Linked DNA regions of Rattus norvegicus. The protein of the gene in region 1 purifies or fractionates together with the protein of each later gene. This does not show direct contact. Links are inferred from orthologs where the notes say so. Each region holds a gene or a part of one and is shown on either strand. Other genes may lie near its edges.

What was found.
Region 2: the proteins of Ptpru (region 1) and Clgn purify together in Homo sapiens (affinity purification with mass spectrometry; 3 studies listed by BioGRID and IntAct, with this or other methods). This does not show direct contact. The link is inferred for Rattus norvegicus from reciprocal best matches to the Homo sapiens genes PTPRU and CLGN.
Region 3: the proteins of Ptpru (region 1) and Golim4 purify together in Homo sapiens (affinity purification with mass spectrometry; 3 studies listed by BioGRID and IntAct, counting the BioPlex papers as one, with this or other methods). This does not show direct contact. The link is inferred for Rattus norvegicus from reciprocal best matches to the Homo sapiens genes PTPRU and GOLIM4.

Annotation. Positions count from the first base shown.
Region 1 is NC_086023.1:149,305,010-149,310,676, reverse strand, and holds the start of Ptpru (receptor-type tyrosine-protein phosphatase U precursor 1 precursor), read left to right. Parts: upstream 1-1,843; 5' UTR 1,844-1,966; coding exon 1,967-2,039; intron 2,040-3,272; exon of another isoform or gene 3,273-5,667.
Region 2 is NC_086037.1:41,604,920-41,609,934, reverse strand, and holds part of Clgn (calmegin precursor), read left to right. Parts: intron 1-2,071; coding exon 2,072-2,185; intron 2,186-2,296; coding exon 2,297-2,447; intron 2,448-4,294; coding exon 4,295-4,510; intron 4,511-5,015. UniProt on the Homo sapiens protein: Functions during spermatogenesis as a chaperone for a range of client proteins that are important for sperm adhesion onto the egg zona pellucida and for subsequent penetration of the zona pellucida.
Region 3 is NC_086020.1:162,954,653-162,959,667, reverse strand, and holds part of Golim4 (Golgi integral membrane protein 4), read left to right. Parts: intron 1-2,173; coding exon 2,174-2,476; intron 2,477-3,447; coding exon 3,448-3,695; intron 3,696-4,501; coding exon 4,502-4,584; intron 4,585-5,015. UniProt on the Homo sapiens protein: Plays a role in endosome to Golgi protein trafficking; mediates protein transport along the late endosome-bypass pathway from the early endosome to the Golgi.

The sequences.
Region 1 (5,667 bases):
GCCAACGGAGGGAAGCGGGAGGAAGCTGGGAGGGCTTCCATACGCCGGGACCTGTATTTGCGTTCATCCCATGTCTCTGTGCATTAGTTTTTTGGGGGAATGAAAGTAATAAATCAGAACTCAAGACTGTTCAGTGACTTATCCTTTTCTTCGTGTTTATTAACTCAAAATATCTCCCTTACTCGGCTCTCTGTATGGTCTGCAGGCCCCGGCAACTGCTCCAGCTACACCTGCCGTTCCTCTTCACTGTTCCATTCCAACCTCCCTAATCTTCTTAGACCCACCAGCCTATCTTTGCCCAGGCTAGCTCTTCTGGATGTAGCGTTCCTTCCAATTGGTCTGCTTGAGGCTGGCTCCTCAGGTCTCAGACCATGTGGCATAGGGCCACATTCTCTTGGCAAAGGCCTCTTGGACCCTGTCCCTAAGTGTTCCTTGTTGCAGGAACATCATTTCCTGGAGGACTCATGTCTCAGACTGGAGTTGCATATGTATATTTGTTGCAATGAAGTCGTTAGTAAAGGAAGAAGCATCTCTGTAAGCGTTCCTTTATTAGTTACCCACTAAGTCATTACCCATCAAGTATGCGGGATACCAGGCCGGGGGAGGAGGGGGGACACGACAAAGCTTCTCTAGGGGAGCTCGAATTCTAAATATGGGGATAAATACCAAATCAATCACATAGCAGGCAGTCTGTTTAGAAGTGCAGCAGTCCACTTCCCCTACTGTGAATTCCACCCCCCCACCCCCCCACACACACACTTCTTCCTGAATGTAAGCTTTATGAGGGTGGAGATTTTTTTTAAAAAAAATTTAAAATTTTAAGTTATATTTGTGTCTATGTGCATGCAAGTGCTGTGCCCCACAAGGCCGGAAGTGCTGATACCCTGTAGCTGCAGTTAAAGGTGGCTGAACCATTGAACAAGGATGCTGGGGATCCATCCTGAATCCTTTGCAAGAGCAGTATGGAAGCCCAACCACTGAGCTGTCTCTCCAGCTCCGGGAGATTAGGTCTTTGTTCTTTTAATGTCCTCGGTGGCCTACAGTCATCATTGAACCAAGGAGCCCGTATCTAGTCAGTACTTGAGAAGCAAATGGGTTTCCAGATGTGAGTCTTTTTTGGTTTTGTTTTGTCTTTTTTACACAGTTCAAGCCAGTAACCTTGATTCAGATCTTGGTGTTGATTTCAAGATTACTGATACATAATCTTGAAAAAGCCATGCTCTACAACCTCAACTTTTTCAATTGTGTAATGGAACTAGCGTGGTGTGTTGCCCGTAGGACAATAATTAAGATGAACAGAGTCCCAGAGAGAGAGGCACACATGGCCCCTGGTCTTACATAGTCACTGACAACTATTTTTGGTGGTTGTGCAAAACCTTGGAGTTCAGATTTACTTGTTCTGAGTAGCCGGAGGCTACCGTACGAGGCACCAGCGTTAGTGAGAGAGGTGCATTTCATATTACTGAAAGTAAAGGGCAACAGTCCAAAGGCCCAACGTTTTGGTAGATGAAGTGTGAGTGTTGTGTCTTTGGAGGGAGCTGTGAATGTGTATTCAGAGCAGTCATGGTAGGAAGAACTTAAGCAACCGAGGGAACAGAGGAGCCAAGTGTCCCTGGGCTACAGTCTCAGCCGTGGGCAACGAATGCGCTGAGAACGTGGATCTAACTACGGGCACCAGCGGTGCGAGAGTGGGGGATGGGCGCGCCGGGGCCGGCGGGCCCAGGGACCCCGGCCGCAGCGCGCGACACCGCCAGCAGGGGACGCCTCGAGACCGCAGAACTCGCACCCGGGGGCCTGACGTCAGCGCCCCGCTCGTTCGGGCTCCCGCTCTGGACTGGGCGCCAGTCCCGCTCCGCGCGGCGCTGCTCCGCTACCGCTCCCGCTCGCCTTGGGCTCCGGCTTCGGCTCCGGAGGCGTCGCCTCCCCAGCTACCGGTCTCCAGGACCCAGGCGGCGGCGCCCCAGCCATGGCCCGAGCTCAGGCTCTGGTCCTGGCGCTCACCTTCCAGTTCTGCGCGCCCGAGACCGAGACTCCCGCAGGTAAGCGCGCGCGGTCCCTCCAAGCTTATCCCGCGAGTGCCCGAGGGGCCGGAGATGGCTGGTCGCCGGTGTTGGAGTGCGGGACGTTCGGTCGCATGCTCTCTGTGGTCGCATGAGTGTCTGTGGCCTCTGTGTCTGTAGTTTGTGTGCAAGCTGAGGTTGAGTGTGTACCGCGGATGCGAGTGTGCTGGTGTGTCGCCTGCGTGGGGCACCGGGTGTGCGCTGGCTCATGTTTGTCCACGCTGCCAAGTGGGTTGTGGGTCTGAGTTTCTGTGGCTTGACTAGAGTTGCGTTTGATACTGTATTGCATTTGTAGGCTGTTTTGTATTCCCCAGGCGGGAGTGCTGGTGCTGGTGCATTTGAAAACCCGCGTGTTTGTTTATGCGTGTGCTGTGAGGGCTCTGTGGATCCTGCCCCAGTGTGGGCCCCGGAACGTGTGTATAGTGTGTGTGCGTGTGCAGTCGTGGGAACCTGGTTGGAGCCTGTGTATCTGTGCGCTGTGCCCACGAGTGACCCTGTGGGAGTGTTTGGGGTGTACGGTGCTGTATGGGTCCGAGTGAATGTCAGAGATGCGGGGAATGCGTGTGGGGGAGCGTGTTTAGAGTGGATGTGAGTGTGTCGGTGAGCTGTGGTTACGTGGCTAGGGACGCTGCGAGCTTGGGGTGCTCCTGGGCCGTGGTCGAGTGTGGCAGGGAACCGAGGGTGTGTGTGTGTGCGTGTGTGTGCGTGTGCGTGTGTGTGTGTGTGTGTGATAGCGCGCGCGTGTGCGTGGCGCACCGGGCCGGAACAAGTTGTCGCGGTGGCATCCCTCGGAGGCTGGGGCGGCCCTGCGGCTGGCGAGGGAAGGAAGGGGGAGAGACGCGGCTGTAGCCGCCGACTCCGACATTTCGGGCGGTTTGTTGTTTCGCAAGTTCCAAGCGGCGCTGGCTGGCGGCTGATCCCAGGCGGCGCCAGGGCCGCGGGGCGCCCGGGTGGGGAGAGCAGTGGGGCGCACCCGGTTGCGGGCGGGGCTGCGGCGTCGGGGCCCCCGCAAGGCCTGGCTGGAGGCCGCGGGACAGCGTCCCCATCGTAGCCCGCCAGAGGCGTTGGGGACGCCGCGGTTCCTGGGGACGCTGCCTGCGTCTGCTTTGCAACTTTGTGCGGCCTCCCGGCCAGCGGGGCGCGCGCGTGCGGACGTGTGTGTGCGCGTGTAAATGTGTGCGTGGGGCTCCCCCTCGGCCTGCGGTGTGATCGTGTGCCTGAGTGTGCTTTGGAGCCTGGTGTCCTATGAAGGGTGTGTGTGCATTCGTATGTCTGAATGTGTGTCCAGTGCCTGTGTCTGTGCGTCCGCGAGTGCATCGCATCGTGTGCTCTGTTGACGGAGTGTCGGTGTGCTTGTGTGTGTGCGTGGTCCACCATCCTTTCCTGAGGCCTGGACCTCAGGCCTCATCCCCTCCAGCGGGCGTGCGCCCGCTCTTTTCCAGGGTTTCCTCCTCCCCTGGCTCCCGCCACCCGGCGTGGGGTAGCTGGGAGCCGCCCGGGGTGGAAGCAGAGCCGAGACACGCGCTGCTGCCTTGGGCCGGGAGAGAGACTCCAGGCCGCCTGCCCCAGACTGCGAGCCTCCGGGATCTAGTTCACGGCCCCGCCCCCGCTGGGGCGTCTCGTGAGCTGTCCTGGCCTTGCCCTGCTCAGCTTCAGTTTTGACCTCCTGGTATCTGCCTCTTAGACCTTTCTCAACCCCTCCCACCTTCCCCCACTTTGAGATCGAACCCTTTGCACTCCCCACCCCATCACCTTGATTGGAGAATAAACGTGAGAGCCTCAATCACCACAGTAGTGGACTGTCAGGATCAATGTTTGAGAGTGAGACCTACTGCAGGTTATTCTCATTCCTGAGCCTCAGTTTCTCCGTTGGCTTCATGATCTTACTAATGATCGCGTATTACTTGGTAGAAGGTTAAGTCCCCTATCTGGGAATCAGAGAAGATGGGTTGGAGGGGGTGTGGTAAAGCCCTAGGGGCTAACTTGAAGCCAGGGGCAACATGGACTCAAATTCTGTCTCTGCTACTTGCTGTGTGTGACCTTGGGTAAGTCTCTTTACCTCTCAAGCTCCTGGCACCTTTGAAGCTCTTACAATTAGAGATCGATTCAGAAGCTCTGGGCAGAAGGGAGGTGGCAGCCCTCTGTCTTCAGTCTAGGGAGTGGATCCAGTTCCCTGCCTACCTCCTTAGTCACGCAGTGGGGGTCTGTGTAGGGTGTCTCTGTGCAGAGCACACCTGGCAGTAATTATCCCACTGAGTGCTCTGGCTCAATCTATCTTTTTGGTCGCTGGAATTGTGGGCATCAGGAATGAGGGAGAGGTGCCCTGTGGTTTCAGGTTAGGCAAAGAGGGCTTGTCAGGGCAGCCTTCTCTCTGGGGCTGAAAAGGGAGGCTAGGCAGGAAGCCAGGAGGGTGGCCTGGATCCTATGCCACACTTCCAGGCTGCCTCCTGCTTCTGTCCAGTGGCATCAGAGATCCAGGACTGTACCCTGTTAGCTGGGGGCATGCTGCTATCCTCCAGGCTGGCCCTAACTGGGCTTGTGGTACCAGCTAGGTCAGCCAGAGTGACAGGAGCTTTGTGCCTTCCCTTTGTGTCTTGAAGTAACCTATGTCTCCTCCATCTTTCCTTTTTCTCCCTCCTCAGCCGTCGTCCACTTACAGAAAGGCAGTAGCATCTTCCTTCCACAGTGACAGGGTTCTTCCTAAAATGCATGCATTAAACCCCTCTTCCAATTCTCATCAAAGCTCCCTGTTACTTTCACAGTTAAAGTCTTTCCTTCTCAGCCCCATCAGTGTTCTAGTCTCTGCCTGGTCCACCTCATCTTGGGATCCTATGATCTGGCTAGCCTTATCTACCAGTAGTCCCTAAGTACCCACTACCCACTATCTCTTCTCGGCACCATGTACAAATTGCTTTCTCTCTGTGATTCCACAGTTTCCATTGTGAGCCCCTAGTTTGTTTCTCAGCTTAGATATCACTTCTTCATTGAAGCCTTTCTTGGTTTTTCTCTGTTTGGGCCCAGGAGAGGGAAGGGAGAAGTTGATTAGGTTTTTTATATTAGGTTATAATTACAGTCTCTTGGTCCTGCCACCTTTACAAGATCAGGAGCTCTGTGAGGAAAGTCACCATGTACCTTCAAATGCACCAGGCACAAGGTCTGACTGAGCCTTCTAGTCCAAGTAAATGGCTGTGGAGTACTAGAATGAGTGAAACTGGGTGATACAGTTCAGTGCTGTAATCCAAGCACTGGGAGAGGGGAGACGCTGAGGCAAGGGAATTGATTGCAAGTTTGAGGTCATCCTGAGTTGCACGGTGAATTCCATGCTAGTCAGGACAACTTTTCGTATTGAAAAAAAAAAAATGAATGAATGAATGGAGTCAAGCAGGTCAAATTCAGGGCTGGAGATGCCAGATGGGGGCGCAATGACTCCATTGAAGGCAGAAGGGAAGGAAGAGTTTTTTTTTGTTTTTTTTTTTTTTGTTTTTCCCTCGGTAAGAATCTGGAAGATTCTGCCGGTGGATGGTGTTATGTTGTGAAAAGGCCGAGTCCAGAAAGTGTCATCTGGGAGCTGCGAGTTAAAGAGGTTGAGTCTCTGGCAGAGACTGAA
Region 2 (5,015 bases), on another chromosome or scaffold:
ACCTCTGCAGAACACCAGGTCTTGTTCTTAGGAAAAGTAAATGTGTCGAGTGCCGCTGGTCCAGAGAGATGCTGCCTGTGGTGGGGATGCCTTTCCCGTCAGACAAGCTTTACAAAGGGGAAGAGGAGGAATCAGCAGCATCTGATGGGTCCTTTCTTCAGGTGCACCTCCCTAGGAGCCCACACTGCTTCAGGCTTGCAGACAGAAAGAGGAAGAAGCTGTGGATAACAGCGTCGTGTTTGGTGAATTCGTCATACTTGTGTGTTAGGAGGCACTAGAAGAAAGGCTTTGTCAAAAGCCAGCGTCTGGCTGCTGTGCATGTTCAAAGCTTGACTCTGCGGTCTGGTTGGCTGAGTCGCGCGTTAGCAGAATTGGGGCCAGCATCTGCTTGCTGGGCTTGTGTTCAGAGACTGACCCTGAAGTTGGGTTGGTGGAGTCTGTGCATTAATACAAGGGGTTTAGTCTGTGTTGCAGCTTGAGCTGATGGGGTCACAGCGTCCATGTTTCCGAGAAGTGACACTACAGAGCCATCATGGTCATTCTCCTAACACTGTGTTCATGCTCCTCGGGGTTTTCGTCTTAAGTCAGTGTAGCCTTTAAATTAAAACGCTAGGTGTGAATATGGAAAGCATGAAGACTTTTTAAATATGACTGAGTTAGAAAAAAATCATAAAAGGCTAATAAATTTAGCTGCTTGAAAACATACATACAATTTGTATATAGCAAAAGGAACAATTGAGTCATGTTAAAGGCCAGGCCCCGTGCTACAAACACTTGGAAAGTGTGAGCAGGAGGGTCAGGGCCTTTAAGTTATTCTTGACCATACAGAAAGTTCCAGGCTAGCATGGGCTGCATGAGATCCTGTCTAAAGAAGAAAAGGAAACAAAAAAGGAAAGAAAGGAAGGGAAGGGAGGGAAGGGAAGGGAGAGGAGAGGAGAGGAGAGGAGAGGAGAGGAGAGGAGAGGAGAGGAGAGGAGAGGAGAGGAGAGGAGAGGAGAGGAGGAAAGGAAGGACCAGAAACATTTATTTTATAACACATGAGGGCTGCTGAGATGGCCACTGGGTCTCATAGCCAGAGTCTCACCCCTGGAGCCCACATGGAAGAGAGAACCAGCTTTTATAAGGTGTTCTCTGGCCTCCTGTGTGCTGTGGCATAAGTACACATTCACACAGACATGCATACGTGTCTGTGCCCTCCTGTGCACGCACACACACATACAGAGAAATGAATTCTTTTAAAACCCTGAAAAAGTAGAAAGTGGAAAGGTTATATTTTACAGTATATAGTCAACAAAGGGCTGACCTCTTAATGTAAAATAAATGAGGCCCCCAGAGAGAGAAGACTGGCTTGGGTGTGCACCTGTACTGCTGCGTGTTCCTAGCTTGGAGATGCCTTATCCCGGATAGCCCGGAGTAGCCTCACTATCTACATCCCTCTCTGCATCTCCTGTCTAGCCTGAGTCTATGCTGAGCCTTTCCCAAGCTCACCCCACACAGACCTGTTCCAAAGGCTTCTGAACCTACCACACGGTAGGGGTGGTTGGGGAAATGCACACGTTCCTTGGTATGAAGTGTCTGGGTTAGATTGACTTCACTGTGACAAAAAACACTCAGGAGTCCACGCACGAGGAAGAAACCCTTAGGCTCAGTATCAGCCATTTCATCCAGAGGTACCAGGCTCCACTGTTGGGGGTGCATTGCCACGGCACCTTGGAAAGGAGCATGGTGTGAAACACTGGCATCAGGGAAGCAGAGAGGGATTGCTTTATAACGAAATCTCCTGCTTGAAACCCATTAAGCTAGAAATCTGAAAACAGATTAATCTGTGAATCAAAACCCTCATGATCCAGTCACTTCACCATTAAACTCACCTCACTGGGAGCTGAGCCTTCAACACAGAAAGCAGACCACATCACAGAGCAACCGGTGCGTAACTTTTGCTGACTGAGTTCGAGTGACAAAAGCAAGATTGAGTGTGCCATGTATGCAGTGTGACCGTTTGTGTAAAAAGGTGTGCGACGTGTGCCTGGAACATGGGCCGCGTTACATTACTGTACTGATGTGTCTTCAGGGATGAAAAGGAACCCATACAAATCGAAGACCCGAGTGCTGTTAAGCCTGACGGCTGGCTCGATGATGAACCAAAATTTATCCCCAATCCTAAAGCTGAGAAACCCGAAGACTGGTAAGCGCTCTGCAGCTCCACACACAGTGCCAGAGATCTCTTGATGGCTTACTCTTCATGGCTTCCTACAAAGACTGGAGATAATGGATTCCTCTGCTCCAATCATTTCAGGAGTGACAGCATGGATGGAGAATGGGAGGCGCCACACATTCCTAACCCAGCCTGTCAGATCGGATGTGGAGAATGGAAACCTCCCATGATAGATAACCCAAAATACAAAGGGATCTGGAGACCACCGATGATCAATAACCCTAACTACCAGGTGATAAGCGCTGCCCAGTTCTGTAGTAAGGTTGGATTGGTTCTTCTAATCCTCACCAGTGTCCTGCGGCTTTTAGAAGTTTCACATGTAATTTTATGAAGTTAAAAAGTTGAGGGGTTGGGGATTTGGCTCAGTGGCAGAGCGCTTGCCTAGGAAGCGCAAGGCCCTGGGTTCGGTCCCCAGCTCCGAAAAAAAGAACCAAAAAAAAAAAAAAAAAAAAAGTTGAGTAATTTGGGTTAGGAAAGAGGAAGGGGTCTGGGGTGGGGACCACATGAATCTCCCTAAAGGGGAAGACAGAATAGATTTTTATGGGTGGACTGGGGGGTGGGTGGGGACAGGAGTGAGGAAATCAGACTGGGGAGTGATGGGGTAGAGACAGAATGAAGGGAGAGGTGACTGGGATTGGGGGTTCATTTGGGTATGGTATGAAAACCTGGTGCAGTGGAAACTCCCTGGAATCTATGAAGGTGACCCTAGGGAGGACTCCTGGTAATGGGGTACAGAGTCCCAACTGGTCATCTCTGTAGCCAGGCAAGGCTCCCAGAGGTGAGAGCAGGGCACACTCAGTTGAGTTGTTGGCCAAGGGGGTCCCATGGAAATCCTGAATTGACCCAGGCAATTGATTGCCGAGACAAAGGCCGCTCTCAGCACACTGGGTCCCACTGCTGAAGACGACACCACACAACTCATTGAGCATGGAGAAGTCAGGCTGGTGCCTACTTGGAGCTCTCGTCCCTACGTTTCAGTCTCTCTTTGCAGGAAGGTACTATGCAGGCCAATGAAAGAGAAACACAGACACCAACCCAGCCACAAAACCTTCGACCTACAATTTGTCCTGCCTGCAAGATGTGCTGGGGCATTGGTGGCACAGAACTTGGTGGGAGTGGCCAACGGTGTCTGATTTGACTTAAGGCCCACTCCATGAGAAGGGACCCATACCCAACACTGCTTGGGTGACCTAGAACCAGAGACAGATAGCACAGACCCCTAGGGTAAAACCAAACGGTAAAGTCTTTTAAAATAAAGTAGCAATTTAAAAAACAAATGTAGCATCTTTTGTTGGGTGTGGTAGCACACACCTTTAATCCCAGTACTTGAGAGGTAGAGTTAGGAGGATCTCCATGAGTTCAAGGCCAGCCTGGTCTACAGAGCAAGTTCCAGGACAGACAGGGCTATGTAGAGAAACCATCTCTGTCTCTGTCTCTCTCACATACATACATACATACATACATACATACATACATACATACATACAGATAGAATGATGGTATATATATCTATATCTATATACACACAATTGTGGTTGTATATTCTAATTCTTCACTGTGGTCCTTCTTTGTAGCATTCATTTATCACAAGGTGTGTCTGTGTGTGTGAGAGAGAGAGTATGTGAGAGAGAGCGAGAGTGTGTGTGTGTGTGTGTGTGTGTGTGTGTGTGTGTGTGTGTGTGTGGGAGAGAGAGAGAGAGGGAGAGAGAGAGAGAGAGAGTGTGTGTGTGTGTGAGAGAGAGGGTGGGGGGAGCACTTGCCCTTCATCTTACTGTTTTTGAGATGTTGTCTCTCATTAAACCTGGATCTTTCTGACTCAAGTTGACTAACTGGCTGACAGATTCCAGGGACTCCCTATCTCCATTTCCTCAGGACTGGGATTACAGCCATTGCCCTACAGCACAGCTCTTTAAATGGTGCCAGAGACTAAACTCAGCTCCTTGTACCTTCTTCCCACAGGGGACCACATGTTACCACCTAAGCTATCTCCCCACCCTTACTATAAAGGCTTCTTCTGCTCCTTTTTATTTGTTTAACAACATCACTTTACTTAAAAGTTTCCTTTGCTGTTTCTTCCAGGGAATCTGGAGTCCTCAGAAAATTCCTAACCCGGATTATTTTGAAGATGACCACCCATTCCTTCTGACTTCTTTCAGTGCTCTGGGCTTAGAGCTTTGGTCCATGACTCCTGACATCTACTTTGATAATTTTATCATCTGTTCAGAAAAGGAGGTGGCGGATCAGTGGGCTGCAGATGGCTGGGAGCTGAAGATAATGGTGGCAAATGCCAATGAGGTGTGACAGTGACCACAGACAAGTAACGGGACGGTGGGCGGGAAGGCCTCCTGGGGACCCAGTCCTGGCCGTGGGTGACACAGATGCAGCAGCTACTAAATGCCAAGGGAACGGACTTGAGTACGTTTCATACAGACCATCTAGCTTCTCTGCATCGCCTGCATGGTGAACTTAAATTATAACAGCCCCAGTGAGATTCAAAGTCTGGCTGTAGTTTATAGCATTAAAAAGAATGCGTTAGGGGTTGGGGACTTAGCTCAGTGGTAGAGCACTTGCCTAGCAAGCGCAAGGCCCTGGGTTCGGTCCCCAGCTCCGAAAAAAAGAAAAAAGGAAAAAAAAAAAGTGTGTTTTCATGTCGGCAGTGCAAGGCTGATTTGTAACAGTGATCTATATGTGATCCAAGTATTTTTACTTAGAGAAATGCCAAGAAGCCTAATCCAACATTGTTGTGTTTGTTTCCCTGCTGTGCTGTGTGCTCTGGGCTAGCTGCCCGGGAGCCTGCTAA
Region 3 (5,015 bases), on another chromosome or scaffold:
GCACAGCAAATCATACTAAAATGTCTTTGTAACCTGGTCACAATTCGCTTTATTCTTATTCTTCATGAAAATCAAGACATGCTTGAGTATGTTTCACAAGTATAACCTCGCCAGCGTGGTCTTACTTATCATTAATTCTTACAAAGTTCCTTGTGTGGGCTGGGGAAGTGGCTCAGCAGGTGAAGGCCCCTGCTCTCAAGATTAACGGCTTGAGTTCATTTCATAGGATCCAAATGGAGGAAGGTAAAGAGTTGTCCTGTGATCTCCACATCACGCTGTGACAGGCTTGCAGTAAATGTTTGAGAAGTTGTGTCTGCAAGTGGCTAGCCATCTCATGGGGATAATGAAGTCAACATGAGTCGAGCTTGCAATATGAATGTTTTCAGCATGAACAGCACATTCCTTCAAAAACAGGCTTGGGGTTCTTGCAATGCGGTTTTTGGTGGGGATTTATATCCAGCAATTCCGACAGCACACTAGGAGAGCAGGCCTGTCATTTGATTCTCTGCTCTGCTAGTATGGCTTCCAGCTTACTGGAATCACTGTCTAATGATTCAGAGCTTGGTTTGCTCCAACTGGGAGTGGGAGATAGAAGTTATCTGCTCTAACCTTCCTCACAAGGACAGAGTGGGGATAAATGGCAGGTGTTTGAAAGCCCTTAGAGCCCTTGAGGAAAACATTTTCTACAATGCAGTTTTATGGCAAACTTGCCAGAGGACTTCATCAAATGTACACCTCTAGAAGGTCTCAGATATTCAAGGAAGAACTTTTCTCTCCATGCCATGCTTTACATTCTTGACTTTTACAAGAGTGATAATTATCTCCCTTCATAGAGGACTTCCCATTTAAATTTGCCGATGGTGTGGTCCTCTAGCCATCTCAATTATAAGAAGTTAATCTGACCACAGAAGTACCTTTTCTTGATAAAGAAAAGGGAAAAGGGAAAGGCACCACAGATTTTCATATGAGTGTTTCATCCTCCAAGCTAACAGAGATTAAAGAAAGATTGGAAAATATGGCTTAGACTCAACACATTTACAGAAGATGTTTTCTAAAAGTTTTTATTTCCGTGGTTTAGTTTTCTGTTTTGACAGTGTTTATCCTGTCAATTTATTATATATTATACTAATATCATCTATAATTGTATTGTTTATTGTAATAAATGGACAGATTGCCTTTGGTACAAAACGATGAAACAAGATTCATTAATATTTGATGGCCTGGCAAGGTGATTCAGTAAAATGTCTGCCACAAGCCTAGGTTGAATCCAACATAGAGGCCAATTTTTATGTGGGGTGTGCCTACAATTCTAGTGTTGGAGAAGGAAAGGCAGAGGATCTCAGGGGCTCATTGACCAGCCAATCTAGTCTAATTCATGACCCTGGAGTCCTCACGAGGGACCGTGTCTCAGTTCACAAGATATAGGCCTCCTGAGAAATGTGACTTGAGGCTGACATCATGCTCGCACAAGCTTCCTCATGCTCCCACACACTCCCACACACTCCCACATGCTCTCCCAACATAAACAGCTATGTGTCTGGGCACTCACAAGCACACTGGCTGGCACAAATTGAAATGTAACAAAGAATATTTTGTGTCTTGCTTAGCTAAAACTATTTTGTACAACCATGGATGTCCATTAGTAGTGCAAGCCCCTTCTGCTGACTAGTAAGTGAAGCTAATGAGAAAGCAACCCAGTTCTTCTTCAACTGAGTCTTAAAGCTTATCCCAGTCCTTTAAAATATCTGTTGAGAAGAAACTGACCTTAAAGCAGCTTTCATAAGCATCAGGATTGAGGATTTCCAGTTTCTATTTTTTTTTTTTTTTTGCTTGTTTTCCTTTCTAGTCTAAGCAGAGCTGGAGTCAGATTGCCTTTGAGGGACGTGCGTTCCTAATAAATGGTTACTGGTAGGCTTCAGTTTCCTGGTCTCTGAGCATTCTCTGAGATAAAATTTTGCCTGGATTATTTATGTCTTAGGGTGAGATGACACAGTGAGAATGAAATAGCTTCCTCGCACCTCTCTTCCTTTTTAGTCATGGCTGTGTATATTTCTAGACTCCAGGATTTTGCTTATGCTGTAGCCCTTTAGATGTGGTAATAGAAGCATAATGTCACCACATTTGAAATAGAAAAGTGTCATGTCTTATGATGTGCTTATCTTGAAATAACAAGGGGCAGCAGAACCATGACGCGATGCCTAGAAGAATGGAAGAGAAACCTTTGTCATCCATGCAGAAGGAAGCAGGATTTCAGGCTCTAGAAGAGCAGAACCAAGTAGAACCCAGAGAGCCTGAGGGGCGTCAAGTGGAAGAGGAACACAGGAAGGCACTGGAAGAGGAGGAAATGGAGCAGGTGGGACAGGCAGAGCATCTAGAGGAAGAACACGACCCATCACCAGAGGAGCAGGATCGAGAGTGGCGCGATCAGCGGAGACAGAATGCAGCCCACCTTCTGGATGGCCGCCCTCAAGCTGAGGTGCATGGGTGCCCACTAGAAGTTCTCTCTGATGGGGAGCTTGGCTTTAGTTTAAAATACTAATAAAAGAATAATAATAGCAACAGTAATAATAATGATAATGACACAATGAGACTGTGGAGATGGTCAGTCAGTGAAGTAAAATCTGGATGAACTCATTTTGATCCCAAATGCTGTGTACAAAGCTTGTGTGGTGGTATGTTTCTATAGTCCTGCACTGGGGAAATAGACAGGTGTCTGGGGCTCACCAGCCAGCCAGCCTAGCCTGACAAGAAAGCCCAGGTTTCAGAGAGAGACCATGCCTTTAAAAGCAAGGTGAATAGTACATAAAGAAGGACTCTTGAGGCATTCTCACACACACACACACACACACACACACACACACACACACACACACACACACACACAGAGAGAGAGAGAGAGAGAGAGTTTCTCCCTCCTCTCTTTGTCTCTGTTTTTCTATTTCTCCTCTTTCTGTGTCTTTCTCTCCTTTTCAACTCTCTTTCTTTGTCTCTGTCTCTATCTTTAATCTCCTCTGAATCAGTAGTATAAGCTGAAATTTGACATTTCCTTTAGCCTGAGACTAACATACATTTTTGGAGTTAGCATCCTTGGACCTTTATTCCTATACAAAGCCTTAGCTTCACACATTGTGCATTTAGTGTGGGGTTACCAGCTTGATTCAGAACCTAAAAGCATGAATTTAGTTAAGGTTGGAACTGATTTCTTGTGCTGTGCCCTGTAGTATTGAAGCAGGAGCACACTGAAAGGCCACCTTCCAGCTGACAGGTCCAGAAGAAGACCAAGTCCTTTCAGAAAAAGCTGGAAATTACAAGTTCTTAGGCTTTATGTACAATTGGCATTTACCTGATATAAAGTGTTGAGAAGCCTATCCTGCCTCCTGAGTTTGTCCTGCCAAGCAAGTGAAGGGTTTAACGCTCCTAGCTCAGCTTGAACCTTTTCTATTCTAGATTGAGCATTCAACCAAGGCAGCTACAAACTTCCGGTCCCCATATGAGGAGCAGTTGGAACAGCAGAGGCTGGCAGCAAGGAGAGATGAGGAAGCCCAGCGGCTGAGAGAACATCAAGAAGCTTTGCACCAACAGAGGCTCCACGGACAGTTGCTACGACAACAGCAGCAGCAGCAGTACCTGGCCAGAGAGATGGCTCAGCAGAAGCAGGCAGACCATGAGGAAGGCCAGCAGCAGTACCAGCTAAGGTAGCCTGCCCCTTTCCCTGGTGGGTGTAGACAGTCCTTCTTCTTTTGTCAAATCAGCATTGTGTACGTGTAGTGTATGGCAAGAAGACAAACTTATATTGCCCATGGAGACAAGATAGAAAAAAAGTATTAGGGAATTAAATGCTAGATACTCACTTTTAAGCATAATTTTTGTTCTGTCTAAACGCAATAGTTATCAGATAGTTATCAGTTGAGAAGAGGGCTTGGTGATAAAGGACTTACCACACAAATATTAGCACTTAAGTTCAAATCCCCAGAATCGATGCAAATCTAAGTACAGTGGCATACAGTCTGGAATTCTGGGCTAGTTCATCAGGATGGGAGATGGAGACAAGGAGAATCTCTAGAAGTTTTCAGCCAATCAGCGTGGAGTACGTAACAGCAAACACCAGAAAGTCAGGCTCTGAGTCAAACATGGTTGAAGACGAGGACACCATGCAGGGTTACCTTCCGACCCCGTGGTATGCTGCATGTTGGTGCACCTCTCACAAGACTTCCGTGCACACACATTGCACACTCCTGTGAAATAAAAGCAAGCAGCCTCAAAATCGCCTAGCATCCGCAGTTCTAACTTAATTTCATCAGGGAATGACAATTTATTTTTTAAAGGCTTTGAAAACATAGCTGGTATCACGATTACACTTTATTATGTGTCTAAATCTCAGAAACAAGTTATGGCTTATTCTAAAAGCTGAAATCTTTATTTATTCCTGTCTTAAAAGATAAATGACCTTTGTCAAACTGTGCTGGCTGATTGTTTATCTCCGAATTTGGGTCCCTGACAGGCAGCAAGCTCATTCTGATGCTGTGGAGAATGATGTTGCACAGGGAGCCGAGGACCAAGGAATCCCTGAAGAAGAGGGAGGTGGTAAGACTTCTTAGATGATGCCACTTCAGTCAGACTGCTTGGTCATACCACGCTATAGCAAGCAGCACAGTCCCTTGCTCCAACAGGCTAACTCCATCCCTGAATAAATGCAGAAGACAGCTGTGACTCATGCTAACACTGTTGCCACACTTGGTCTGAGTGCTGGTAAAAACATATACCACTACTGAAACCTGGCCACGATGGTGACTCTTTCCTACATAATTCTTACCTCTGCTCAAGGCTCAGATCTAGAGTGAAAAAAAAAAATGTAGTAAGCATAGGGATGAATTCTGTTGATGAAGGATGCAAGGACAGGCTGATAAGTTATTCTCTACCAGAGGAATGAACCAATTCAAGTCAAATTAAATTAAGGCAGGGTGCTTAACAGTTGTTTCTGACAATCAGTCTTAGGATTGGTGTTCTTTAGGAAA